Struthio camelus: one gene and its partners. The protein of the gene in region 1 interacts with the protein of each later gene in a biochemical or structural test. Links are inferred from orthologs where the notes say so. Each region holds a gene or a part of one and is shown on either strand. Other genes may lie near its edges.

The links.
Region 2: the proteins of BMPR2 (region 1) and BMP2 form a complex in vitro, tested with the Homo sapiens proteins (4 studies listed by BioGRID and IntAct, with this or other methods). The link is inferred for Struthio camelus from reciprocal best matches to the Homo sapiens genes BMPR2 and BMP2.
Region 3: the proteins of BMPR2 (region 1) and BMP4 form a complex in vitro, tested with the Homo sapiens proteins (2 studies listed by BioGRID). The link is inferred for Struthio camelus from reciprocal best matches to the Homo sapiens genes BMPR2 and BMP4.
Region 4: the proteins of BMPR2 (region 1) and GDF2 form a complex in vitro, tested with the Homo sapiens proteins (2 studies listed by BioGRID). The link is inferred for Struthio camelus from reciprocal best matches to the Homo sapiens genes BMPR2 and GDF2.

Annotation. Positions count from the first base shown.
Region 1 is NC_090947.1:9,922,766-9,930,102, reverse strand, and holds the start of BMPR2 (bone morphogenetic protein receptor type-2), read left to right. Parts: upstream 1-4,325; 5' UTR 4,326-4,931; coding exon 4,932-5,007; intron 5,008-7,337. UniProt on the Homo sapiens protein: On ligand binding, forms a receptor complex consisting of two type II and two type I transmembrane serine/threonine kinases.
Region 2 is NC_090944.1:130,843,571-130,850,418, reverse strand, and holds the start of BMP2 (bone morphogenetic protein 2), read left to right. Parts: upstream 1-3,833; 5' UTR 3,834-4,595; intron 4,596-5,374; 5' UTR 5,375-5,381; coding exon 5,382-5,733; intron 5,734-6,848. UniProt on the Homo sapiens protein: Growth factor of the TGF-beta superfamily that plays essential roles in many developmental processes, including cardiogenesis, neurogenesis, and osteogenesis. Induces cartilage and bone formation.
Region 3 is NC_090946.1:79,892,414-79,900,269, forward strand, and holds the start of BMP4 (bone morphogenetic protein 4), read left to right. Parts: upstream 1-4,835; 5' UTR 4,836-4,872; coding exon 4,873-4,949; intron 4,950-7,856.
Region 4 is NC_090948.1:22,144,497-22,151,567, forward strand, and holds the start of GDF2 (growth/differentiation factor 2), read left to right. Parts: upstream 1-4,052; 5' UTR 4,053-6,704; coding exon 6,705-7,050; intron 7,051-7,071. Other genes in the region: GDF10 (growth/differentiation factor 10), read left to right, coding at 995-1,186. UniProt on the Homo sapiens protein: Potent circulating inhibitor of angiogenesis. Signals through the type I activin receptor ACVRL1 but not other Alks. Signaling through SMAD1 in endothelial cells requires TGF-beta coreceptor endoglin/ENG.

The DNA of each region.
Region 1 (7,337 bases):
AAAACTTCTAGTCTGGCACAGGATGATGTCAAAGACTGCAGTAACTCTGCTGCAGTATGGTCCGCTCTGCAGCGGGTTACACAGCAGCAGGGCAGAGCTGGAAAAATCCAGGCCTGAAGACACTTAGGAGTTTGTACTCACAAATGTTTTCTTTTTTTGAAGGCTGGATAGTTGCTGCTCTTTTCTGTGTTTCAGAGACAAAGGGGGAAGAAAAAAAAAAAAAAAAGACATAATAGTCTTCAGACGGGCTTTTTTGAGTCCAAAGGCCAAAAGTAACGTCTGGCACAGATTATCTGACTGGACTAAAGGGGAAACGAGTTCCCTCCGAGGCAGGAATTCAGTCTGCCGTTTCCTTAAAGCTGTGGGTCGGCTGGCGAGAGCGAGAGCCTGCTCTGCCACGTGCTGCCGCCACCGGAGGCTTGATGGGTTTATCTCCCATCTTGGCAGGACAGACAGGGCTGTCGCTGGTGGTGCTTTTCCTTCCTGTGAAGAAAACCGGAAAGTTTCCCTCACAAAGGATTTTTCCAAGGTTTTGGGCGGTCGTTTCCCCCGTGGGCTGCGATGCCCCCATCCCGGCTATTTGCCGCCTTGGTGTCCCTCTTTGGAGGAGTCGGTTTCCTCAAGGCGAAGCCGAGCCCCGGAAAGGGGATGGAAACCAACCCCCTCCGTTCAGACCAGGTGACGGTGGCGCTGGAAAATCTGTCCGCCCTAGAGAAAGGCACTTCTGGATCCAGATCACTCCTGAAGTCCCCGGGGTGTTCACTATTTCTCCTTTAATGACGGTCTTCCCATAGCCACCCTCGTTTTTGTGACCTTTCACTCCCGGGGGAATAATGGGGGCGTCTCGGTGCGACACCCCGGATTTGAAGCCGATGGGAAAAATCTGTGTGAAATAGGTAGCCCGATACCTACAATGGCAACAGCGTCTGTGTGTGATTACTTGTTTAGCTGCAATGGCTGAAGCTTTTCGCTGCTAACTCAGCAGACTGCAAGGAGCAGACAGTATTGTCTTTTTGGCTTGTTCTGGCTGCAGTTCAGGATGTTAATAATAATCTGGAGAGCTATGTAAGCCTGGGATGGCAGCTATCGGCAAGCCCCTCTCTCTCGATGCGCTGCTGCAGGAGGTGAGATCAGGGAAGATGATCTTGCTGACAGGTTCCTAATTTAGCAATGAGTGGCAGGCGTTTGCAGCGGAGACCCACACCAAATCCATTATTTATGAAGATACTGCCTGGGGTCCAGGATGGGAGTATTTATTTGTAGGAAAGTCTGTGAACATCTTGATTGTTATTGTTTTAAGGTTTGTTTATGCATCACCGTCAACGCTATGGGGATGCTTTGTTTTTAAAGAAACAAAAAATCTCTTAAAAACAAAGCACCGGGCAGTGTTGTTGTCCTCTCTCCCCAGCATTTATGACAGCATTGAGAGAAACACCCTGGGCAGGCTGATGGGCAGCCAAGTAAAATTTATAACTTATTTTAAAGAGATTTGTTGACATCATGAAAGGCCTTGTCAAAAAGAGCACTCCCCCGAGTCCTAACAACGATAATGGCTGTATGGCGTCAGCACTGAAATACTCTTGGATAACAGCGAACCTATCCCGAGAAATATTTGCAATGTTCCTGAAAATTGTGTTTTCTAAAAAGGAATAGGGCAGGTTGTTTTGGTTTTCTTAATGCTTTGATTTTATTTTCCACTGATTGGAATATTCACTTGGAAGCACAAAAGTAAGATTTTCTATATGCTGGGTAATTAAAAAAAAAAAGTGTTGTTTAAAGGAGACACTGCTAACAAGGACACGTGTAATTACTGTCATGTACAATCTTGAATTTGCAAGTGATACCAATATGTTTGCATGTGCATCGGTATGACAGCAGGAAATATCTGAGGTATACATCCGCCTTATTTCCCACTTCAGCGTCTCACTCGAGCATGGAAGCAGCGTAAAGGGCAGCTCCAGTAAACTGGATGCGGCCGTGTCATTTAAAGCTCCCTCGCCCCGGGGCAAGACAGACGTGCCCTGCAGCGGAGGTGGTGCACATCAGCCTGACATCTCAGGGAGCTCGCAAACGCGGTAGCCTGGCGCCGGCGTCTCTGCCCTCCTCGTGCCCTGCCTTGAACGCGCGCCCTCGTCCTGCCTGCTTGCGAGCACCGCGGATGATAGCTGCGAAAGGGTAAGGCCTGTTCTCCTATCCCTATTTTTTTTTTTTACAGTCTTTTCAAATTAAGTTCAATCTTGTTGTTTCACGGGGCTAAGTTCTTCCTGGTGGAAATACAGTGCTTCAGCAGAGCATCTTCCTTTGAAATCTTGGTAAGTTTTAGGAGGTTTTCTTGGCCTTCTCTCTCCTATCCTTGTTTGGACCAACGCTGAATATTTAAGTTGCTGCAGCTTGGTAAGTTTTCATTATTCTAAGTATTTTTCTGTCGGTCTCATTTGGCATCGCTGCACATTAGGCTAATGAAATGCTAGCATACAGTTAAAACAATATCAAAGAAAGAATGGTAAATATGCCTTTGTCCAAGCAGATAGCAATAAGTGAGCCTGGGAATGACAGTTTAGGTCTCTGGTTTCCTCCCACCACTGTGGGAAAAGGAAGCTGCCTCTGTGCTTAGACAGCAGCAACTGCTTCCTGCGTCTGCGTGGCAAAAGGGGCGTTGGTGCATCCTGGGGCCGGAGAACCGGGGCTTCGGCAGCCCCACGGCTCCGGCGCCCACGCTGCACAGGAAGGCACCTGGCCCCGGGCAGGGGCAACGTCTTCCAAAAACTCCTCAGGGTTAGGTAGGGAAGGAGGCAAAAGCCTTGCAAGGTGCTGGGGACGTGGGTCCAGGAGATCAGACCAAGGCCCTCACCCAGGTGAGGGCTCAAGCTCAAGCGAAGCAGATCCACAGCTGCGGTGAGGTCTTTTGCAGGCCCATGCATCTTCTGGGTCAGGGCCTGTGTTTGTCTGAAGCTGTGAGGAAATTACTGTATTAAAATTGGCCTAAGCCTTGTTTCTTCTTTACAGAGAAACAAAACACAACAAAAACCCAATCCGCTCTCTGGAGAGAAAAAAAGAAAAGTAAGTATTTTAAGGCATAAAACTATTTTATGTGATTCCTTGTGAAGAAGTGCCAATATTAATTAACGGTCCAAAACTACAGCTATTAAAACCAGAGGGAATTTTGTCTTTACTTCAGGATGAGCCAGTTTCAATACATGTCATAAACAATTACTGTAATTTTCTTTTAACCATCCAAACAGTGAAAGTGCTGCGTAACCCGCCTGGTTACGTTCTTGTTTTCCACGAACAGAGTCGATCTGGCTGCTTTCACGGGCGGAAAGCGCGTTGCACAGTTAGGTGTCTGCACCAAACTAAACGCTGGATTTTCCGCCCCGCGGAAAATACTCCCGTGTCGGTGTGCTGTCCTCTCTCGGGGGCAAAACCTGTTGTTTGGCTGGTTTCTAAAGGTTATTTCTTGACAGTTCACGTTCCCCACACAAGAGGAAGGATATGGTGGTTAGCATGTGGTTACAATTCTGGCGAGTGGCAATACCAGTTACCATCTAGGATTCCCTCTGTCATCCTCCCCCATCCCCCCCCCCCCAAATATCCACGGTAAATCTGCATGGATTAGGAGTAAAAACAGGGTGACCAGCTCTTAAAAATCGCGGGTAGCTGTCAGCCGCGCGACCTTCAGCTCCGACGTTAGCAAGGTCAGGCCACGCCGCGTCCGGCCGGTGTAGCACAGGTCGTGCTAGGCTTGATTTTAATTATTCTGTTAATGATTCTGCTGCGAAGGCGAGCACCAGGCCTCAAAAAGCAGCAACGCAGCGTAACAACATGGAGGCGCGGGCGGGGCGCTGCGGGGCCTTTCTCTACCTGCCCGGAGGCCTACCTCTATGGTCGGCGCGAAAGGGGGGGGCGGGGGCGGGGCCCGGGCGGTGCGCGGCGCGGCCGTTGGGGAGGGGGCGGGGCCGGGGCGGGGCGCCCGCGGGCCGGGCGCCGAGACTGGCAGTTGGAGCGACTCCCCTTTGTGTCTGGTGCGGGAGCCGTTGGGGCCGTTGGGGCGGGAGGGGGCGCGAGCCGCGGCGGGGGCCGCGCGGCGCAGCGGAGGCGGCGGCGGCGGCGCCCTCCCCGGGGCTGGGAAGGAAGGAGGCGGCGCGGAGCTGCCCCTCGCCGGCGGTGGCAGCGCGGAGAGCCGCGGGGAGGAGGAGGAGGGAGCTCGCGCCTCGCTCGCCGCTGGAGCCGCCGAGGAGCGGCCTCGCCGCCGTCGGGGCGGCCGCGGGGGCAGGGGCGCGCGGCCGAGCCCGCAGATGGGCCGCGGTGCCGCCGCGGCCCTCGCCGTCAGCGCGGCCGCCTCCCGCCTGGCCGCGCAGCGCCTCGGCGCGTCTCTCCTTCCCCAGGCGCGGAGCGGAGGGAGGAAGGAAGAGCGAGACCTTTAACTGGGCGGGATGCCCCTCTGCCTCGAGCCGTTGGAGCTTGCTGGCGGCGTCCTGAGGCGAGCGTGAGGCGGCTGCTAGAACTGACGGTCGTTAGACGTTTCCCCGCGCCTGGATATGTTCGCTCCTACACCCGGCTGTTTCTTTGATATCGTGAAGCTGCGTGGGAAATAAGCTCGGTTCCCAGAGCGAATCGCGAGAATCGCCCCTTCCCTGGGAGAAGGGAAATGCCTTTGGGCTTGCAGGCAGAAACGGGCTTTCCCCCCGTTCCCCAGAAGAAGCGTTGCCGCTTCCCGAGACATGAAGGCAGCCTGGTGTAATGGAGTAAGAGCAGCAGCGGCCCCTCTCCTCTGCCGTTTGCCCTTCCAGACTGGATTGTAAACCGGGAGAGTTCAGCAAGGCTGTTTGAAAAAAGAGAGAGAGAGGAGAAAAAAAAAAGAGGAAATTCCTCTTGTCGTTTTTATTCTGTTATTTTTCCTCCTTCTGCCTCGGCCCTTGGCTTCCCCAGGTATGACTGCCTCACTGCAGCACCTTTTGCTGGTGCTCCTGCTCTCCAGTGCCACCCTGCTGCTCAGCACTGCGGCTGGTAAGTAGCCGGGGGGGGGGTACTGAACTAGCCATTTTGGCACGGGGAAGGGGGTGGGGTCCGCCGGCATTTGCACCCGTCTGGGTCTGCTGAAGGAGCGGCGTGCATGCATGCATGCATGTCAGCCGCCGAGCCCGAGGAAAGTTCCTCAATCCCGATACCTTAACCGTCTTTGAAAATAAAATCTGCTTTATTGTGTAAACGAGCTCGACCTGCGTTCGAGATGTGTGTTTTGTCTGGATCCGCTTCCCTTGTCTGATAACTTGCTTCAATTTTGGAAAAAAATATATAATCTTTTTGTTTTGCATACCTAGCCCTTTGTAAGGTAAAGCAGGGATTTTTAATATATATTTTAATCGGCAGCGGAGCTGTGCCTGTTTTGCTGTGGGATCTTTTGGGCACAGCCATTTTTAATTTTATCAGCATCGCTGCTTTTAGGGGCCTTAAACATGTGCTGCAGTTTTATGACAGACTTACTAGGACACATTTCTTTTCTTGGGGGAGAAGTTTGAAACAAAAACGTGGCGATTTCTATTGTCATTTGTGATTACGGAATAGTAACAAAAACGCTGTTGAAGAATACTGAAAGATCTTCAAGTCAGTGTTCTTTTTTAACAGTGACTTAGAGGCGTGTGTTCTAAGAGCATCCTTATGCTTATTTGGGGGCGTTTAGGTCCGCTTTTGATGTTGCTTGGAGGCTCAGTGTTAGATACATAGGATATTTGAACATGATATTGGAAGAGAGATCAGTATTGCACTGGCATCCTTTGGTTTTCTGTCATGGTGACTGATGAGCACGTAGGAGCTTTCTGAGTGTTACCAGCTTTGTTAGGCGCTAGGACTGATTCTTCTCAGTGTATATGTTTTCAGCAGTTCTGGAAGACTCTTAGGATTTTGGCATCTTTTAATAATCAGGAGCTAATTTTGAATGCCCACTCTTGTCAGCATTGTTTTTGCAATCTGATGTGCCTAGTTCATAGATGAATCCTTATGGGAAAATTGCTATATCTTGCTAAGGTGACCTAATAAGATGATGGTAGTTTCTGTATTACATTCTAGTGATTTGTTTTAATTGAATTATTATCAGTGTTGAAAATACTCGGTGTCATTATTTGGAAAAGCCTGTCCATTAGACATGTTTAGGTAGTTTCTTTATTGCTCTGACAGTCCCTGATTTCCTCACTTCTGCTTTTTTTAAGAAGTCTCTTTGGGGAAGATATTAAAATGAAATGATTGACTTTGCCTACATCAGCCTGACCTTTGACTGTTGATATTTTAGACTGATACCTGCTCTATCTGTCTGTGATAATTTCTTCAGAGTTTTTTTTTTTTGGGGGGGGGGGCGTTTTTTGAAAAAGGGACTTTTGAAGGTCGAAAGCCTTTGTATTAAAGTGTGGATGAGTCAAGAACGCCAAGTATCTAACCTTTTCTCTTAAATATAATTTTTAAAAAGCGTGGGCTTTTTTTCAGTTTGGAAAAACTTCAGTGAATTGGTAATTCCTTTATTCTGATGAGGGAGAAGGGCTACTGAAGGAGAGGCAGTGCCGATTTGAACCAGGCCAAGGGCTGGGCAGGTGCAGTACGAGCTCAGTTGGACGGTTTTGCCCGTTCACCTCAATCCTGACCTGTCAACAGCATTCCTATTATTTCAGTTCTGGTTTTGTTTTGTAAAAAGAGTATTAATGATGCCAGCTTGTTTAGTTGTCTTGTGAACAGAAACCGGTTTTCCCATTGTGATTTATTTCTTAATTGTGAAATTGTAACAATCTGTGTTATAAAGCCTGGGTCATAATCCTCTGTAAGAGTAATTATATGAATGATTTGAGCTTTACTTACAGTCAACCATTAGTAACTTTAAGTTTATACTACATTTCAGAAACAAATGGCTATACATGGGGAAGCTACACTAATGTGTAATTCTGCCCTTTTATGTTCATGAAAGAGCCAACACTATTTCTTCTCTTCCCCACCCCTCCCCCTGAAGTATGAACTGTATACTCACATCACGGTGAAAATGCTGGCTTTATAGCTTTGAAAACCTCGGTTAACTGCTACTTCTCATTAGTGACTAGATCCTGTGTCTCAGCACTATATAAAATTGAGTGTTGATAAACGCAAAGAGGGAAAGTACTTGCATAGATTGGTAAATTTCCGTCTCAGGAAGAACGCTGAGACATCCTTGAGGTAGCTCACCAAAGCCCTGCACTCAAAATATGGTCAGGAAAGGAAGGCTGCTGAAGTGCATGAAGAAAGAAAATCATGTAGTGGGGCTGTTGATGACTGTTTCGCTCATAATCTGGAGCATGAATGAAGATGGGATGTGGTTCTTC
Region 2 (6,848 bases), on another chromosome or scaffold:
ATACATATCGGGGGACAGAGGTCTAAAGTGGGAATTTTCAAAAACGCTCAGTATAGGTCTCACTAGTCTGTTGAAGTCAATGGTAAAACTGTTTACTATCAATGTGCATGAAGTGACGATAATGTTTCTGGAGGCTTGTACCTCTAACTATACCAGAAATTATGTCATTCGTCACTAGTTAGAGACACTGGTGAACATTTCTCATGTAGATCTTTCAGCTGAAGTCTTCTGCCCGTAGCCATCGATAAAGACAGTCACAATTTAACCAGCTGGAGAAAAGAGACTACATAGTGGCAGCATATAAGAGTGATTTGATAGAGTATTTGTAAGAGGAATATGCTGTAGAAAATTGTTTTCTTCTTTCTCCCTCTAGTCGTGAAAAAAGGGCTCTCACTGTGTTGTAAAACTTATCCTCATTTGGAAACTTTTCTACCATGTATTAAGAAAACCCAGCAATACCTAAAGTTGAGATCCATCAGCTGTATTTGGACTCCTGCAAAGGAACACCTGGGTGTGAAACCTTAGAAGCAGGTGCCTCTAACTGAATACTCAATGGCTATAAAAAAAAAAAAAAGAATAAAAAAGCAAGTGCGGGAAAGAAAGAAGAAAGAAATTAATCAGTCCAATCAATGATACAAGGTTCAGAAGTAGGGATATGAATGAAGTTTCACAAAGGAGATTAACGAATATGCATGGTCAGGTTTCCTAAAACCTAATGTCTGTACCAGATCTTTTCAGTATAACTGGTGGTTTCTCTATCAGGAATGTAATTGAAGTTCAGGCTTGATCTGAAAAACTGTAAAACTAAATGGCGCGGTGGGACTCCACTCTGATGGGGGTGGATCTTCAGCTGATGTATCACTTTACTCCCTTGATTTCACTGAGCCTATGTGGAATTACAGCATCACGAAATACAGCTCATTTGTCTCCAGGAGCATTGTCTCAGGTTCATTGCCGTACAGCTATAAGGGTGGGAAAGGCAGAAGGGTGTTATGTCTGCCGTGAAAGCTCAGTCTGGGAACTAGAAATCTGGGTGGGCACTTCCTGGCATGTTTCCACTTCACAAACCAAATGTTTCATTTCTTAAACCTAAATGCACCCGTCTCTAAGGCTGTTTGTAGCATTGCTGCTTCTCATATTATGACCTCAGGAGTGCTGACGCTACGGAAGTTACGGTAGCAGGTCTGAATGCAGTGTTCAGAGATAGTGGGATGGTTCTCCAGGTGGATAATGAGTCAATTGTCATGTTGATGAGACACAAACCGTAACTGGGCCTTAATGGCAGACGCAGTGCAGTTACACAGAGCTCACGGCCAGGACGACTGACCCAAAGACTTTCCTTGTAAAAGGAGGCACCTGCAAACAGCCAGTTTTATGAATGAGCTCTTCAGTTTAGGGGTGTACAGAAGCTATTGTGAACACTGGAAGCAGGGCATCACGCTGAAGGACTCTTGGGACTACCCTCCTGCCTTTGCAGCGCGATAGCTTCCTGCCTGCGGGTTCACCTCCGATCAGCATGTGACCTATGGACGCAAAGTGACAAGATATACAAAGTCTTGCATGCCTGACCTGTTTCACGTGACAGATCTGCTGTGGCTATCTCTGCATAAAAGCCTTCTGCAGCGCCACCCTGCTCGCTCAAGGGTTCACTTCTAACACAAACGTCTTTTGAGGGAAAAGGGGAACGACACTTTCAGAAGCTTATTCACTAGGGCGCTTGTGGATGGAGGCTTTGGTTGAAAAGAAATTGTATGCATTCTGGTGAGAAATCTGCATGTGCGCCAAGCAGAGCGGGGAAGGTGCTGGGATGCGTGTTTTTGAGGTTCTGGTAGGGGATGCCAGTGCATGCGGGGACACGCTATGAGCCCTTCCTGTCTTCACTTGGGACCTTGTGCAAACAAATGGTAAGACAGAGCCGCTACCCCGGGTGCTCTCAATCTGAATAGACTAGAGAGATGAAAAACTAGGAGAGGAAACATGTTTTCCTGTGTGAAGCATTAGTTTTTTATGACCAAGAGAACGGAAGACTGTGTGAACTGACAGGCGGAGAGGAGGCAAACCTACAAGACCCTCTTGATATCAGATCAGAATATATCCAGGCCTTTGGAACAACCATAAAGATACTTCTCCCTTATAAGGTCCATCATCCTAATATAGAAACCTCCTGGAGATAAAGCGAAGCTGGGCATACAGTACAACCTATGCTCCAGGCACAGGGAGTAAGTGTTGAGGCAAGAAATGACTTTTTCCTGGCATGACCCACTACAGATTGAACTGGAATGGCAATTAGAAGTTGAAGTGCTCATTTAATGTCAGTGATGTGTAAACTACATTGCCATTGTTATTTTAGTGCTGATTTACATAATTGGCATACCCTGAAGTCACACTGCATGCACTTTAAGTTCATGCTAAAGAGTTGCAGGAAGTCATAAAATTAAACATTATCTGAAATGGAATGCAACAGAAAAGTTACTAAACTTTTGAAGGATTTCATTTTGGTCTGTGTCACATCTCCTGCCTGTGGCCCTGGGCACGGCAGCGAGCGAAAATCGGAGGTTAACAAGTCCTGGGACTTGTCTGCATGGAGAAAGAAGCTTTACCAGCTCTTTAATTATATTGGTGTAGTTCTAAAGTGGTTTTGCTACACTGGTATGTAACTCTCCTTGTTAACATTTCCTTCCAGGAGTGACGTTTTGCCAGTATAGCTTAAGTCAATCTAAGGAGATAGGAAAGCCAAAATAAGAGGGTGCACATGAGGAATTGCTGCACTCTAACTGTGCTGAATTGTTGCCTCAGACTGGTAGTTTTCCTCTGCTGAAAAGCCCTAAGATGGAGGGAAAAGGCCGCTCCCAAAGGAGGAGCTGGTAATGGAGCTCAGTTGTTATTGCTTTAAATCCTCCTCCGCACAGTAATTCAACGTGTCAAAGGCTGTCTGTGTCTTTTGCAAATGAAGCCCCCGAGAGGTATCCGAGCAGGAGGCGCGGCGCTGCCGCCGGGTCCCCCGGCTGGGGTCGGTGCGCTGGCGGCCGCAGCTCCCAGGACCCTCGCTCGCTCGCTCGCTCGCTCGCTGCCCGGGCGGGGAGGCGAAGGGCCCGGCCCCGCCGCGGAGCCCCGCGGGACGCGCCGCCGCCCGCGCTTTGCTCCGGCGCCCGGCGGCGAAGTGACTTGTCCGCGCCGGCCGCGGGCGCCGCCGGCTGCGCGCGGGGCCGGACCCCGCCGGGCGGCGGCTGCGCCCCTCCCGCCGCGGCCGGGGCCGGGTGCCGCGGTCCGGCCCGGCCGCAGGTGCCCGAGGGGGCGGGAGGCGGCGGCCGGCGGGGACGGCCGCGGCCCGGCGCAGCTCCGGCGCGTTTCCGCCACTGGAGGGCACCAGCCGCATCTCAAACACCCGGCGCCGGCGGCGGCGGCCGCGCACGGCCCCGGCAGCCCCGAGGGAGGGCGAGGCCGCGGGAGCCGCCGCACCTCCGCGCGGCGCGGGGCGGCGCGGGGCGGGGCGGCGCGGACCCCGCGCTCCGGCGCTCCGCGGGCGGCCGCGCCGCGCGGAAACGTCGGGCCGGCGGCGGCGCGGCCGCCCGTGGGCGCGGGGCCCCGGCGGCACCTGCCGGGAGCGCGCTCGGCTGCGCGGCCCGGGGCGGCGGCACCGGCGTCGCAGGGCGCGGAGCCGCTGCCGGCCAGGCGAGGCGAGACCAGCCCGCGCCGCAGCCTAACGGGCCGGGCCGGGCCGGGCGCCCCGCGCCGAGCCGAGCCGAGCCCCGGGCGGGCTGGGGGGGGGAGAGGAGGGCGGGCAGGAGGGAGGGAGGGCGGGCGGGAGGCGGCGTCTCCTTTAAAAGCCGTGCGGGGCCGCAGCCCGCTCCCACAGGGCGGCTGTGATTGGCGCGGGCCCGCGAGCCTCCGGGGTCGTGACATCGGCGCGCAACAAAAAGCCCCGGCGGCGGCGCCCGGCCACCTCCGTCAATGGTGCGGTGCAGGGGCGGGAGCCGGGCACGCCTGCACGGCGCGCGGAGTGTGCACACAGAGCGGTCCCCGTAGCGCTGCCGCCGCCGCCGCTCCACGCGAGCCGCGAACAAACTACTCCCCACCCTTTTTTTTTTTTTTCTTCCCTTCCTCCCTTTCCTTTTCCCTCCCCCCCTTCCTCCTCCTTTCTTCTTTCTTTTTAAGGCAGCGGAGAAAAGTCAAGCTTCATCTTAAATGTTGCTGCGGGAGTCTCAGTAAATGTCCATCTGTCTGATGCTGATGATGCAAAGGACATTTTTTAAAAGGAGCCTTTTAACTCCATAGACACATAGGCACCCATTCACGGGCAGGCACACGCACACACACGCGAGGAGGAGGAGGAGGAAGAAGAAGAAGCAACAACTTTCTGATCGCTGCTTTTAAAAGGGAGAAGCCCTTCCCTGGCTGGGACTTGCCTTCTGCCTCCCAAGCCAGCTGCTAAAAGTATGTTTCTGAGGCGGACCGTACTTCAGGGAACTTCTATTTTCTGCTCGGCAGCTGTAGAGGAGCAGCAGCGAAGTTTGGAGTAACACCAAGTGATGCGGGAAAAACACCCCGAGAGCAGAACACCCTCCTGCAGACACAACCCCCGCTGCTGCACACAGGTATAACCCCGGCGGTCGCAGATCCGCTGCAAGCCTTCTCCGCAGGATGACTCCGTGGGCCACGGCGGAGGTGCTAGCGCTCTGGAAGAGAGAGGGGGGACGGGACACTAGTCATAACAGTAATAATAATCCAGCGCAGAGTTTCACGGGGGAGAAGAATATCCTGTGGGTTTGGCTAAGGACGTAGCAGGATTTCCCTCTTCCCCCCCCCCCCTCCTTCTTCCACTCCGCCGAGAGAAAACACCTCTGCCTCTCTCTGCGCGCGGGGAAGCCTCTGCCCCGCCGCGGAGCCGGGGAAGCGGCGCGGGCAGGGGCGGCGGGCCGGGCCGGGCCGGGAGCGGCGCGGGCAGAGCGCGGCGGCAGCGGACGGGACGGGACGGACGGGCCGGGCCGGGCCGAGCCGAGCCGGGCGCACACCTGTGCCGCGGCGGCCGCGCTGACAGCGGCCGCCTCCTCCTGCCCTCAGCTCGGCCCGCTTTGGTGGCGGATCGCCCCGCTCCCCCCGCCCCGTCCCGTCCCGTCCCGTCCCGCCTCGCTCCCTTTGATCTCCTGCCATGGGGATTTTCGTGCCTTTCTCCGCCGCGCGCTCCCTCCGAGCACCTGAAACCTGCCTGCCCCGCGCCGCCTGACGGGGCCGGCGGCGGCGGCGGCGGGGGGGAGGGGGGGTCGGGGTCCGCGCCGCGGCCGCAAAGCGGGGGGATCCGCGGTGGGAGCCACCTGCGGGCCGTGCCCGCGCGGCGCCACCGGCTCCCATCGCCTCCTCCTCCTCCTCCGCGCAGGTTGATCATGGTTGCCGCCACCCGCTGCCTCCTGGCGCTGCTGCTCTGCCAGGTGCTGCTGGGCGGCGCGGCCGGCCTCATGCCGGAGGTGGGCCGGCGGCGCTTCAGCGAGCCGGGCCGGGCCGCCTCGGCGGCGCAGCGCCCCGAGGACCTGCTCAGCGAGTTCGAGCTGCGCCTGCTCCACATGTTCGGGCTCAAGCGGCGGCCCAGCCCCGGCAAGGACGTCGTCATCCCCCCCTACATGCTGGACCTCTACCGCCTGCACGCGGGCCAGCAGCTGGGGCAGCCGCCCGCCCTCGGCTACCCGCTCGAGAGGGCCGCCAGCCGCGCCAACACCGTCCGCAGCTTCCACCACGAAGGTAGGTGGGCAGGGGGGGGGGCCGCGGCGGCGGTTGGGCGCGGGCGGGGGCCGTTGGCGGTTGGCGGCGGGGGGCGGTTGGGCGCGCGCGGCGATGGCGGCCGTTAACGTGCGCGGCCCGCGCGTGCGGCCGTGCCGGGCGGCGAGCGGCCGCGGGACGGGGGAGGAAAAGGGGCCGGGCAGGAGGAGGAGGAGGAGGAGGAGGAGCGTCGGGGGCAGACTCCTGCCCAGGAGGGCATGCCTGCGCTCGGCCGCTAATGAAATGCGTTTTGTCGAGTTTACAGGAACGGGGGTACTCGGTTTTGCTTTAAAAGCCCCGCTTAGAGGACTCTGAAGTTTCTGTTCCTGACGCGCTTATTCAGCAAAGCGCCTTCCTCCTCCCCCTTCCCCCACCCCCCACCCCCCCCCCCCCGCAGCCGATGAGGGGCCCTTATTTTATTTATTTATTCTGCGAAAACAGACCTGCTCCAAATTAAGCCTTCCCACAGATAGCTTTTCTTTCACAAGGCCAAACACCAGGAAAAAGCTCCCTAATTCACAGCTGAGCTGGGGTCGTTTGGGAGGTTTCTAATCCTTATCTAATCCCCGTGAGAGATCAGTGAAACAGTCGATTGTGGCGTTTCCTCAGCGGCTTTCTTGCCCCCCCCGTTGGGTTGAGGAGCACCTCAGCCTAGACCTGAGCCACACCACGAAGGAGGCGGGCGGGCGAACAGGCTGGTAAAAGCCTGGCTGCCGGATTTCAGGTGCACCCCAAGACCTCAGGTAACCTGGCCGAGCCTTCAGCAAGGTGCCAGATGGCTCTGCAGAGGCCGCGCGAGGTGCGTGCCCACCAGAGTGCTCTGGGGTCCCCGGGCACGGCCATCCCGTCCTCGCCGGGCCCTCGGAGGCGGCAGCGGCGCCATGTTGGCCCTGTAACGCCACCGCCGGCTCGCGCTTTGGTGAGGCGCTGAGTGCCTTCGGCTGCCTGATGCGCCCGCTTGCCGCTTCGGTGACTGACTAAACGCACGCAAAGGAGATTACCTTCAAAAGGAGGCTCTCTGGGATAGCGGCGTGTTTTTGTTTTCTTCCTCTCGCCCCCGCTCCAGTGACTGACTTAGTCGGTGCGCTTGCCCGGAC
Region 3 (7,856 bases), on another chromosome or scaffold:
TCCAGTCTCTCCATGTCTCCCTTGTACAGGGGAGCCCAGAAGTGGACCCAGTAGTCCAGGTGAGGCCTCAGCAGGGCTGAGGAGAGGGGCAGGATCCCCTCCCTCCACCTGCTGGCAACGCTCTGCCTGATGCACCCCAGGAGACCATTGGCCTTCTGGGCCACGAGGGCACCTTGCTGGCTCGTGGTCACCTTGTCGTCCGCCAGGACTCCCAGGTCCTTCTCGGCAGAGCTGCTCTCCAGCAGGTCAACCCCCAGCCTGTCCTGGTGCGTGGGGTTATTCCTGCCCAGGTGCAGGACCCTGCACTTGCCTTTGTCGAACTTCATGAGGTTCCTCTCCGCCCACCTCTCCAGCCTGTCCAGGTCCCTCTCAATGGCAGCACAGCCCTCTGGGGTATCAGCCACTCCTCCTAGTTTTGTACGGTCAGCAAACTTGCTGCGCAGAGAGTGCGCTCTGTCCCTTCGGTCAGGTCACTGAGGAATACATTGAAGAAGACTGGACCCAGTACTGATCCCTGGGGGGACATCACTAGCTACAGGCCTCCAACTAGACTTTGCGCCACTGACCACAACCCTCTGAGCTCTGTCATCCAGCCAGTTCTCAATCCACCTCACCGTCCACTCATCCAGCCCAGCCTTCCTGAGCCTCCCTATGAGGATGAGGGTTTTCAAACAAATCAAATGCAATGTATCTACACTGCCGGAGCATAACACTCAAAGCTCATGAATTTGTCTTCATCAGCATGAAACCAGCACAGTTTGGGTTCCCTTCCCAGTCAGTTAATAGTCTTCAAGGTCTCAAGGAGTGATTGTACCTCTCTAATCTCATCAGTGAAACATGAGCCAGAGAATTTCACTGTGTCATTCCTGCTTACATGTCAAAAGCTTACATGTCAGACTCTACCTGGTAGAAGAGGAAGTTATCCCATCTTGACTTACAGACTTCAAATGAGAAAGAATTTACCATATCCCAAAACAGCTTATTCCAGTGGTTAACTCTCTTCCCTGCTAAAAATGCACCTTTTACTTTTTAAACTTTGGGATTAATCTTTTAAAAATGTCTTCATAACTGTGAAGTTTTGAGATCTTTTTTAATTTTTAATGAGCCTGGAATTCTTATATAATAACAAGCTGTTGGGAAATGAGGCTTTGAACAAAACATTTAATAATGCAAGACCGGTGATAAAATGAATAGAGCTAGAAAGACTGATCCTGCCGAATTACCTAGTCCTCCCAATAGGAATAGGCAATGACTGAGCTTTATTGTTTTTACTAGCAGATAACTGAAGATTATCTCTTACAATTTTCTGGAAAAGAGTGCAGTCTGATCAAAGAGACTCCTATCTGGCAAAATGAAACAGATTTAAAATCTGTTTATCCTTTACAATATTGTGCTAAGCTTCTCTTGGTCCCTAATGGGCAGCAGACGACTATACCATGCACCTCTAATTGGAGAAGCTCATTGCATCTACTGGATCTGTTTGTAGTGAGCCGCTTGCAGGAGACAAAACCTTGGCATGGGAAGTTGCCTGTCTCCTAGGGCGGCTGGAAGGGGAGCAGAATTCCACGTCTGCCTGGGTCCACCCACGCAAACAGGAAGGGGGCCGTGCCAGATGATAAGTCCAAGTTACCATCCAGGGGAACGAGATGCCAGAGAGGATTGTTTTCATTTCCATGGGATTTCTAATTAAGGGACATGCTTTAACTATGTTTTCAATGGCTGAACATCCAAATGACAGTTTGATATGAGCAATTTGTCTGGCAGGCTAGATAAATTCATACCAAAGCTAAAGGATTTTCCGTTTAAAATGGGTGCACATCCTTAACTGTGAATCGGATCAAACATTCTTGTAACTAAAGAATCCTCTTTATGTAACAACTTTTTTTTAAGCTTCATTCTTTGCAGTTTTAATGATCAAAGTCTCTTTTTCTCCTGATTTGTCCCCAGTCATTGACTCTGCAAAGTGCTTGTTTTTTTTCTGAACCCTCATTCTTGTTCCAGTTTGATGAATGAAGGGAAATGTGTATTCCCATTTCTGCTGTCCCACCCAGCCTTAATGAGCACTAGCATTGTCTAACTGACTCCTGGGGGAATTTGCTACCTGCATAGCTGTTGGGCTGGGCTCTTGCAGCTGGATTTCTTTTGATGCATTATTTTCTAGAGATGTTATCCACTGTCTTGTGAACAGGTAAAGTGAGGAAAAGGGGCTGGTGTATTTCTGTCTGGGGAAATTAGGCAAAATCTGATTAGGCTATTAGCTGTCATGTAATTATGGAATATTGGAAATCACAGAATGACAGAATGGTTTAGGTTGGAAGGGACCTCTGGAGATCATCTAGTCCAACCTCCCTGTTCAAGCAGGGTCCTCTAGAGCATATTTCCCAGGATCACATCCAGGCGACTTTTGCATATCTCCAAGGAAGGAGACTCTACAACCTCTCTGGGCAACCTGCTCCAGGGCTCTGTCACCCTCTCAGGAAAGAAGTTTTTCCTCAGGTTTAGATGGAACTTCCTGTGTTTCAGTTTCTGCCCGTTGCCTCTTGTCCTGTTGCTGGGCACCTGTGAGAAGAGTCTGGCCCCATCCTCCTGCCACCCTCCCTTCAGGTACTTCTACCCGTTGATGAGTTCCCCCCTGAGCCTTCTCTTGCCCAGGTGGAAGAGGCCCAGCTCTCGCAGCCTTTCCTCCTAGGAGAGATGCTCCAGTCCCCTAATCATCTTTGTCGCCCTCCACTCATGAAAAATGCTGCTTTGCTTGAAGGATATACTGCCTTTTATTGCATTCACAGAAATAAATCGAAGACATGGTGTACATGGCCAGCAGAGATGATGTGAGCAAAAATTAGGTGGGTTTATACGAATCGTAGTATGAAGCTCTCTTGATAACTTTGCCAGCTTCAGCTAGAAGGACTTTGACTGACATTTGTTGTAGTTTAACTCTGAGAACTGTGAGCTTTGAGGGCTATGTGGCTGCATAGTCTCCCTTCCCCGCATCGTCATATGACACCACCCAAAATATGTCTGAGTGGAGAATACAGTTATTTTTGGTACTGTCCCAGAAACTTATCAGGTGTAGTGCAATTAATGAATCAAGTGCCTTAAAAACATCTGTCCAGAAGCAGCAGATACTCTTTTGGTGACTGAGTACAAGAATTTCATTCAGAAGACTGACATGCAAAAAGCTTTTTTTACATCGTTTCTTCATGGTGTATATGTGCTGCTGCTTCCAAGGACATGGTATTTTTGCTGTACCAATGAAAATCTGCCTGCACCTGGGCAAATCACAAGACTGAAAATTCTCAGTTTATATGTGATCAGTGGAGATTTAGCTGAAATCCTCAAGGGGTTAGCCTGCCCCAAATGTTACTGCTGCACAGGCTGTTGCCACAGCCTCCCGCCATGGTGCCTGAAGGGGTCTGAGAGCAGGACTGTAGAGATGGCTGCTCTAGGAAGGAACTGGAAGCTGGCTTTAGAGCTTATTCCTTCTATGCCCTTGTTTCTTGCCACATCAAAAGTCAGAAAATGTAGAGGAGGAATCTATGACTTGTTCAGAGAAGACCAGAGATAGCAGAAAGGATGGGGGAAGGAGAAGATGGGAGCAAGCAGTCTTCCAAGATTATGTGTGAGGCAGTGGGGTGAGCAGGAGAGGTGGAGACTAAAAAGCCACAGGAAACTGAGTCTGGGTAGGGGTAACAAGATGGACCCTGTTGGCTGAGAAAGGACGCAAAGAGGTGGAGACAAGAAACTGGATGAGGGTAATAAAAGCAGGAATGCATTGGACTGAAAGCGTTGTCCATGGCAGAGAAGGGAAGTAGAGAAGGTTGAATGTAGAGGGGGAAGCAGGGCTAGAGAACCAATGTTTATGGGAGAGATATATAAATAGAGTGGGGACTAGCTGGCCAGGCAAAATGCAGACAAAGTTTTATGAAGAGAAGTGAGACTGGGTGTGAAATTGAGACCTCAAAGAGATGACCCTGGGAGGAGACCAGTGCTGGCACGAAATCTAGAGGTGGATCTCAAGCAAGATGAATTTGAAAAGGATATGTTGAACCAGTCAGGCTTTGGGACAACAGCAGCCATTTGTCTCCAAGCTGGAATGAAACCTGGAGCCAGGGGCACACCATCCCATCACTGTCAGCAAATATATCTGAATTCCTCTGACCTCTGAAAGTGAAATATGTCTTTTCCAAGCCTGTACTGCTGTTCTGCAGAGAGGATGGCAAGCAGCTGTGGGAGTCAGTGCTCTGTTTGCTCAAAGGGATGAGGTATGCAGGTGACAGAATACTTCTCTGCTCATTAACTGTATGTTATCAATGTGCTGGATATTTTGTTTTTTCAGTGTGCTTATTCAGAAATCTAGAAAGTGCAACATGAAGCCAGCTATGCTGGAAGAACTTCACAACATGTGAAAGAGTAAGGAGAATAAAATAATGAATAGATGCTCAGGAATCAAGTATCATCTGTAGTGGAGAATGCCTAAAGCTGATGGAGAAAAAAAGTGGGCTGAGAGTAGAGAGAAGGCTTGTGCATCATTGCCTGTAGTCCACGGACTCAAGGCATAGGCAGTCTTGATCTGCATGTTTTCTAAGTCTGGAATGATTGACTTTGCAACTGTAGTAACATTCTCTGAACGTAGTCTTGGTCAATAATATAGAGCAGCAGGTTAAGGAGGCAGGGAAGGTTTATGCTGTTCAGCAGGGAAGAACGTGAGCAGATAAGTAATTGGAGATAAAAAAAGTGGAGAGCCCATCTGATCCATCATGGCTGAAATAGCTGTGTTTATTAGTAAAACCGAAAGAGAAGGACTATCTCTGTGTTCTTATTTTCTATAATAGGAATGTTTGAGAGTCCCAGAAGAGATCCTTCTCCAGGAAGATGGTGTTTGCATTGAGAAGCCTACAGCCTATAGAGAAGGCGGGCACAGAGCAGGAAAGGAGCAAGAGCACTGAGAGGTAAAGCAGGTGGCAATGGTTAGCAGCAAAGCTCATCACTGAACTTCTGAATCTCAGTGCAGTGATGTGTCTGTTAAATTGTACTGCTGTTTGGGCTTGTAATGAAGCCAAAAGGAGGTCTGAATAAATGTTCAAGACTAAAAGCACTATGGGATTTCTGCCCTAGAAACCAGAATCCAAAATGGGTTGATTTTATTAAAAGAAAAGTAAAGAAAAAAGCAAATGGATCAGAGCCTATTCTGAGTGGTGCTGCTGCCACCAAAATACACACTGAACGCTCTGTAAGGAAAGGTGAAATCTCATTAAAATGAGCAAGACTACAGGCCTGAGCCCTGTTGGGAGATGCAGGCATACTGAAAGCTGTTTATATTGGCTAAGAAATACACAGGTTAATAGCAGTTTTAGCATTTACACAGGACCCTGCAATGTCCTCAATGCTTTACACAACAAATAAAAAAGTTGTTAATTACTTGTCCTGAAGATTTATATAATGCAGTATTAGTAAAGTTGGGACAGCACGAACAGAAGCGTTGATTGCTGAACGTATGCAGGCTGTTATACCCGGGAACACACCAGCTTTGTGTTGTTCCTACCCAGACCAGCCCCTTGCTCCTAGGGCATTGATTTTACCCAATGTTTGTGCAGTCAAATTCCATACTAGATTTAACAGGAATTTATATGAGTCTTTTTGTATACAAATCTTGAGTCTTCTTCCCTCCAATCAAAAAAATCTGAAAGTGCCAATTACCTTACCAGATTTGTTCCTAGGATTTCGATGGTCATTTTAAAAATGAAAGTTTTCAAATTAATTTAAGTGCTGCTTATTTGGCTTTCAGTACAGCAATGTTTGTCTAGTAGCAATAAAGCAATCAGAAGTGAATCTGGTTAGTTATGTCACAACTGAAAAAGAGTATGACAGCATATGTTTTAGTTGAGTTTATTTAGAACATCCTGCTGCTAAAATCAGCCTACAGAATGGTCAAATTTCATAAAAGTAACATTTGGACTATTTGTGCTCAATTAGACGTTTATTTAAAATTTCCTCTTGGTTTACTGATGTAAATGTATTGTTCATTTTTCACATACCAAGCACTGTTGTTTAGTCTCAAGGGAATTATTGTTACAAATTTAACAACTGTGACATATTAAAAAGCACATTTAAGGAAGAAATTAAGGGTTGAGAGGATGTGACCAAATGTTTCCATGGTGTTTTGCCAAAACGTCACTTAAATGCCAATGCGATTTTAGTAAGAGTTGCTCTTTCAGAACTCATCTTGCCCACGAAAAAATAAAATAAATCTCGTCTGCATAAGAGGCAGGCGTACTTTCATTGCACTTGCCGGAAAATCATTTCCTAAGTTTTATTTTCATTTTGGGAACTACTTTTAACTACTGGCTGATTATCATGTTAGTTCTCTGTATTAGGCAGCTGATTAGCGAGGAGGAAGTCGATAGCTTAGTGTGGGGAAGTAAAAATGTTCAAATTGGATGCCTCGTGTAGGCACCTGCATCCCTAATTAACAACTAGCCGATAATGTCAGGAACTGATTTTCAGGAAGTTCTTTGTTCTTTGAAAGTCAGGCCCCAAACTGAGCAATGAAAAATAGAAACCTGGGACATCGGTGATTACTTCTGAGAAACTCAAGCCTAATGTCAGAGCAAGTTGTGAATGGTATATGTGCAAGTCTGGGAAACTGCATCTGTGATTGTTTTTCTATAATTTTGATTGCCTTTCTAAAGTTATCAAAATGGGATTGTTCTAAGAAGCAGTTTCTCATGTGTGTTCTGTAAACAGAGAGCTTTCTGGGAAAGTGGCTGTAGAAGGCATTCCTGGGAGATACATCCCTAGACCTGAGCACTATCATCTGAGCATCTTCTTCCAGCTGCCTACTATGGGCATCACGACTGCTTCAGTGCTCAGCTCAGCAGCATAAGGAGCATTGTAGGCGCTCTTCTATTTAGAATGATTTGATCCCTGATGACGTAACTCAGGCTGGGACTGAAGACCCCAAGCTGAGCTAAATGTGCTCCTGGACCCATGAGCACAGGTGGGGGGAGGCCCCAAGTCAGGCTGGTCAGGGCCATTAAGGCCCATTAGTGCCCTCAGGGCCCCGACACGGAGAAGCCAGAGAAGCCGTGGTGATGCTGATGTTAGGTGCTCTAGTGGGCAATTTGAAAAGCAGAGCTATGGTTCCTCTGGGTTGCAAACCTCACGCAGGATCATTCACTTTGAGATGATCAAGGCAGTTTATGGTGGCCAGACGGAAGTGCAGAACAGTAACACCCCTTTTCCTCAGAGGATGGGGCAATTGTTCAGACATAGAGAAATGTAAAATGCATGCTCTTTAGGAAGAAAATGAGTTATATGAGTAATTATCCCTGGTGGCTGTATTCCATGATGATGGGCTGACTGGCAATCGATAGCAGAGTAGATCTGTATAGCAGAGTTAAATATCTGTTCCTCTTAGCAACTTTGCAGAATTGCACTTTCTTTATGCTTGTGCCTCAGCACAGGTGAGTAACTTGATGCAGCCAAATCTCACACTTTCTGAGCAATGCTGAGTTATGCGAACATGCCCTGTGTAAACAGCAGCCCCTGGGAGAGAAGGGGCTCTGGGAGAAACAGACCTCGGTGTTGTTTGCTTCTCCCACAGACAAGCCTGGGTGCACTCACTTCTACAGCCGTGCATGGTAGATTTTGTTTATTTAGCTCTCCTGTGAGGCCGTGATAATTTATGTCCAGGAAAATATCATTTCTTTCCTCTTTGTCTTGAAACCATTAATTATTTTCAGTTGTATTTAAAAAAAAAAAGTGTAGGAAAAAACACATATGACAATTAACAATTGCCAGAGCCTCTAGGCTTTCCCGAGCCTTCTCCTGTGAAGAGCTTGGTCCTGCCACTTGCT
Region 4 (7,071 bases), on another chromosome or scaffold:
TAGCTTTTGAATAAATGCTAAAAATATAGGACTACCATTTAACTATTAAATAGCATATACTATTTATATAATCTTAACACTCCTTTTCTTATTCTCAATGTTCTTATACCTAAAAATCTCCATTCTGTCCTCTTCTCAAATATTTTTCCTTGTGTTGTTCTACTGCATACAAAAATCAATGGCAGAAGAAGGTGGCTCAGTATTCTGAACAGTAACAGCTGTTAAGCTGTTGTGAGCTCTCACTTTATATGCCTCCTGCCCTCCCAGCTTTTTGTTTTCTTCTCCCACTGTGAGGCTTGTTAGAACTTAAAAAAAAAAAAAAAAAAGCCCAGCAAGAAAGGCAGAGGGAAGCAGACAAACTACACATTTGTCATGGAGGTATGATGAGAACGGGTCTGTGAGGTTGCTTGATAATTTTAGGGTAACTCCCCCCTGTGGACACTGTTCCAGAAGCCCTGCTACATTAGAATTACTCTTTTAATATACAGTGGTTATTCCAGGAAAAAGTAACTAATTCTAGGTTAGTGAACATGAGAAGAATTACTCCTGGACTACATGAATAGTTATTTTGGAAAGAATTACAATGAACAATTTTCCCAGTCAGAGGGTGAGAAGACAAGAGATAACACTGTACGATGGAGAAGCACGCCCCACCTTAGCCATTTTCTCCTGCATGCCTGCCTCCAGAGTTTAATAAGTGCAGTCATGGACACTCTCCTCGGTTTTTCTAGGCTACTGAATGCTGGCTATGCCACCAGTGCCCTCCTCTGGTATTTACGAAGGCAGCACAAAGAGTACAAAATATCTGATAGATGCCTCCTGGGCAGGCAAGCTGGAAATGGGAGGGACTGACTGTGTTGCGCAGCCCTGTGGCTCATACAAGTATATTCACTTTTTTGAGAAACAAAAAATCATAATGTTGTCATTTTCCAAGCCTATTTGGGAAAGTGACTTCTCATAGATGAAGCAATAACTACTTCCTTCTATGTTGCAGATTGTCCGGCCATCAAACCATGCTACAATCCAGAGCATCGTAAAAGCAGTGGGCATCATTCCCGGCATTCCAGAGCCCTGCTGCGTTCCTGACAAAATGAACTCACTCAGTGTCCTCTTCTTAGATGAGAACAAAAACGTGGTTTTAAAGGTATATCCCAACATGTCAGTTGACACCTGTGCCTGCCGATAAGTTCATGCAAACACATCTTTAACAAGACCTAAATATCCTGCCCGACTACACTGAGAAAGTTGTGAATGGGAAATAAATCCACTGTTGTTAATGAGCAGATGCAAGCCTACAACTTCTACAGACAGCATGCAGAGAGACTAAAGCAGCACACCTGCTCACCTGGAAGGATATGTCTTAATATCGTCATTTGTCTTACAAAATTAACAGTGATTCACCTTCCAGGAAATCAATACTCTACAATTTCTTCTTAACCCATCTAGCTGAGAAACATGGTATATAGTGCAGAAATTTAAACGTAAAGTTTTCCATAATCAAAGGACTAAAATATGTTTTTATATGCTATTTTTCTATTTTATCTCCTCAGTTAACCAAGAAGATGGGAAGTGAACTTGCAAAGGCAGGCTTATTCTAGAATACCATTTGTGTACACAAATCAAAACTTTTTGCCTAAAACACTCATACTCTTAATCTGTATATTTATACTGAAAATGCTGTAATAAAGGGCTTAATATGTATATTTTCTTCAAGATTCAAGTGTAGTGTACTGTATAAGCTTTTACATATACAGTATGTTAATATAACCATTTTCGGTTACCCTTCCCTAATATATAATTTGTTCTACAAAAGACACATGTAATATCCCACACTCTTGGTTTGCTGGATGATTTCAGGTTGTTAAACATATATTCTCTGAGTAACACATACTATATAGTAATATGTTGAAATACTAAAAACAAAATAACTAAGATTTATATTTTTGTAAATTATACTTTATATCCTCTAGATTGTTACATGCTTTTAACAAAAGCTAATAAATTAAAGGTACAGTAGTATCTAAATATAGTTGAAATGTCTTTCTATAATCCACTTGGTTACATTCTGTTAATTAGATGGAAACATGTAAATGCATGTTAAGCTTGTCATAATGAACATCAATAGATTAAAGCCAGAAGGGAATATTTTGCTCATCTAGACTGACCTCCCACACAGCACAGATCAAAGAGCCTTGCCCAGTAGTTTCTGCATCATGGCTGAAACCTCTGTTTTGAGCTTGGGAATATCTTTGAAAAAAAGGCATACATTTGCCTTTAAAGATTTCAAGTGACAGAATATCTCTACTGGACTACAAGTAGTCATTCTAATAGTTAGTCATCTTTGTTAAAATGTAGCGGCTTACTCCTAGCCTGAATTTGTTGAGCTTTAGCTTCAATTCACTTGATCTTACTCTAACCTATTGCTATTAGGTCCCTTTTGTCTAATATTCAAAATACTTTCTCTGCGTATTTTTAATATATACAGCAGGCTCAGATTACATCTTGGCAAAGAATTAATAGGTACTTTGATTTCTTACTATTCCAAGCCTCAAAATAATTCCTCATGGCTCTTTTCTGAACTCGTTCCAAAACTTTAACTCTTTTTTTCCCAATAATGAACATCATAACGGGGCACAATATTCGGCAGTGGTTCCATTTATAGAAATGGAAATAAATCTGCTTCCCTCCATCTCATGTATAATCCTCTCTTGATACAACCTTGATAGCGCTCTTAACTACAGCGCTCTCCTAAGAGCTCGCGTTCCGTTACTGTGACTGTTATTTATCTTTCTCGGTGTTATCGCATGCCAGGACAAACTGACCATGCTCTCTTCCGTTTTCATTAACCTGTTGTACAATAGCATAAGACAACTAGGAGCAGAACAAACTACTGAAGTCTGTGAGGCAGGACAAAGTGCAAGATGCGGAGAGTTTACCCCTCAAGGGGCAGTCTAACCTTTTGCACTATCTTGCCCGATTAAATTTGTGTTGCTTAGGAGAACGATACTATACACACTACCTTCTGATGTGAATGACTTCATTGTGAAGGCTCCTGTCCTGCTAAGGCCCTAGGTAACTTCTGCCACCGATATTCCATTTTTATGTGGTAAAGATTCCCAGCCAGCAGAGGTGTGTAAATGTGGCACTTCTTGCTAAATCACTTAAAATCAAGATTCAGTGTGTACGGACTTATCTGTCTGCACAGCCACTCTGTCCACAGTTCTTCATACTTCCTCCTAAACACCTCTCAATAAGTAGATAGCTCTGAGGCACCTTGTAGTAACTGCCAGTTAGAGAAAGGAAAGAAAGGGCATAGATCCAGGTAGGCATTTCTTCTTCTCCCAAATCACTAGTGATTTGCAAAGGAACTACTGGGACAGAGCTTTGTGTACTGCTGCTATTAAAGATCTCCCTTGCAAGGTCTTGAGTTCTTTTCATAGTTACAGAGTAAACTAAGGCTGAAAGAGTTAATACTAATGCATAAGTTAAAAAGTTCTCAGAAATTCATCATTTATTCCTAGGGTACACCCATAAGTATAAAACTTTCTTAATTTTAAACCATTGTCATTTCTGTCCCTGTGAATATTTACCTTTTCTGCAGGATAGTTTTCCTTCCATTTAACATCAGCTCTGAATAGAATTAGCCTAGTGTAATAGTCCGGTCTATTGCATTTTGTTTTCTTTAGGGAATCTTTTTTTAAATTCCGAACTACTCCTTGAGTATATCGTTGCTTTCCAAGATGTGCTGAGGCAAGCGGTTAGGAAAGAGAGATACCATCCCCTGATCTGTTATAAGGCCTATAGGATGTAAGGGAAAACGCTGCTCCTACACACAATAGGGAACCTATAAAACCCCTAAAGGTGTAGTCCGCATTTAAAAGTATTGTTGGCATAACTATGTCATTTAGCATGGGGAAAGTAAAATTATACCCATAAGTGGCATAGCTATTCCAGCTTCCCCTATTACACAAGCAAGACAATTCTCTTATTTGCAACGTTTATTTTATCTGGAGAAACAATGTAATTTAGAGAAGCAAAATAAACTCTCATGTTTGTTACTAGGTAGGTTTTCTGGTTTAGCTGTACTGGTCAATCCTTTGATGTGGGCAAGGCCTTAACCACTATTTGTTTAGAAGTGGCTATTACTTCCTGGGGCTTTGATATTTAGATGTCTAATCTGTGCCTTTACAGAAGGAACCTTCGCATTTAATTCATTTAATTGTTTTTAAAATGGCACAAATGCAGTTGCAAGACAGTGATATTCTTCTAACAGCTCTTCTGATTCCTAGGAGCATCCTATAAACCGTTCCACTCAATGTGCAAGTTACTAGGTAAAGTTACTATGGACAAACACTTAATTAACAAGTCAGAAAAATTCCACTAAATAATCCTAAAAGAATTGAGGGTATATTAATATGGGATGATTAAAGACGGAAAAAACAGGAAAACAGCTGATACTAACCAGCAAAGTATTATGGAAAACTGTTTTTCTAACACAAAATCTCTTTAATTCTTAGAGGTCCCAGTTTAATTGCTAGAGGTAACTGCAATAGCTAGAATGTACTCAGGTTTTTGTGGAATATTTTGACCCAGCTGTACAAGGGAGCATAATTAAAATCCAGATCACTGGACAATATTCATATATTTGTGTATCACATGAATTAAGAACTGTCTCACTGCCAAATGTCAAAGAGCAGCTTTCAAAAGGGAACTGTCACCGAATAAAGCTGCTCACTGAAGAGTTTCTGCAAAGATGACAGTTGGCCTGAGACTATTTGACAGCTTCATATATGAACTGGAAGTCAATATATAATAACCCAAATAGTATTTGCAGAAGACACTGTTTAGGAGAGAGGTATTTGTATAGAGCACTTGATCAGGCTGCATTCTAGTTAATCAAAATTCATTTTAAGGTAGACAAATGCAGAGCGTGGTACCTAGGCACACGGAATGGAGGCTGTTCCTACCGAACAGGAGACTATGCCCTTGAAAGCCATAATTCTTTAAACAATTTGGGTGGGTATTTTGGACTTACAGCACAATATGAGACTCCAGGGTGATGCTATATAAAGAGAGTTAATGAAGGCATTGAAAAGATAAACAGTAGAGTAGTAAACCACAGAAGGAATGGAGATTTCATTTCTACACGTGGCACTGGTGGAGTGTCACTAGAAAACTATGTATAGCCCTAGAGCTCACCTTTTCAAAAAAATACTGAAACTCTAGAAGAGACACAAAAACAGCAAGAAAAACAGAGAAAATGTCTTATAGCACATGACTTAAAAAATACAATCTCTTTATCTTATCGGAAAGCAAACGGAGAAGCAACTTGATTATCGGGTACAAGTACTCTGATAGGGAGAAAATGCCAGCACTATGGAGCTCCTTAAGCTGGCAGAAAAGTTACAAGAACTAGTGCCTAGAAGGTGAAGCCAGGCACAGTGAAATAGTAAGTGAAGCACCATTTTTTCTAAGTGACAGTGAAAATCTTCTAGAATAAGTGCCAAGAAATGTGAAGAAATCTTCCATTTTTGCAACACCTGCACATAAATCCTAGAGACCTTTACAAAAGTTATGCTTTAGCCAAACAAAAGTAATTGGTAGGAAATTACTTTGGTAGAGGTAGGAAATACAAAGTCCTTGAGAGAAATATAACAATCTTGCTATTCAGGAGATTAGGATCAATGCCAAATAGCCCTTCTAACCTTACACCATAGAAACATAGTTAACCAGAATCTGGGATCCCAGTTGTCACCTGAACAGACACAGGAGTATTTCAGTAGCATGGGCTCACTTTAAGCACTCTGTATGCACTCCTGGAAAACTGGAGAAGAATGGACGAGTGCTGAGACAGGACAAAATCTTTTCTGTATCTTTGCAACGAGGTATTTTTGTAACGTAAGAGCTCATAATACCATTCTAATCTCCTAGCACATACACAATGTGGATTTGGCTGTACTTCCCATCCACCAAAGGAATCAAACTGCAAATGGACAAGCCTGCAAACAACATGAAGCAAACTTGACACAAAACAGATATTTCACTGTGTACAAATAATAGCTCTTTGCTGATAAACGGAGAGAAATTTTAAGGTTGTTTGTATTGTTGTGAGATCACGTCTTGCTGAATCACAGGTCTCCATCAAATGGTTGGGGATTTTGCAATGGTAGGTGAAGGGACTGTAACAGAGATTTGTGAGGTGTTATTCACTAACAGCTGATAGACTAATTTTGTTCTGAACCTCGATTTTCTAGTCTTGATGAAAACAGTGTAATCCTCCACGTCCCTAAGAAAGCTTCTCCCTGGGTTGGCAAGGAAATGGTAAAGGAGTGTAATTAAGCAATGATGACCCCAAAGTGAAATGTGAATTCTTTACAATATACAATGTCTTTCCCACCAGCCATATGTGTTTGTCAGATGTTTATAGAATCTTCATTAACTAAGAGCTTTGCTAGATAACAGAAGCTGAAGCATGGCATCAATGACTCAGATAAGGGCAAGTGTACAACCAATCTGCTTGACAACTGACAAGAGGCTGGGGTTTGAAGCAGACTGCAAAAAGAATTCAAGAAAGTGATTTGCAAAGGGTGCACCAGTTTTTTGCCTTCTATCTACCTCCCTCTGTCTGTAATGAAACAAGAGTTTTAATCACCTACAATTTCATTGTCCTCTTGTCTCTTCATCAGAAAGTAAATACAGAAGAAATGCACTATTTTGGGGTACTGGCTGCACTGTCTGTTTTCAACATCATTGCCTGTTTGACAAGAGGCAAGCCTTTGAAAGATTGGGACAAGTTACCAGCTATGGAAAAGTCTGATGCACACTTTCATGATCCTGGGGAAGTGGAAGATGAGACCCATTTCGACTTTAAATCTTTCCTGGAGAATATGAAGACAGATTTACTAAGGAGTTTGAATTTATCAAGGGTCCCTTCACAAGAGAAGACCAAAGAAGAACCACCACAGTTCATGATTGATTTATACAACAGATATGCTGCAGACAAGTCTTCCATCCCTGCATCCAATATCGTGAGGAGCTTCAGTACTGAAGGTAGGAGATGTCCTAAAAATG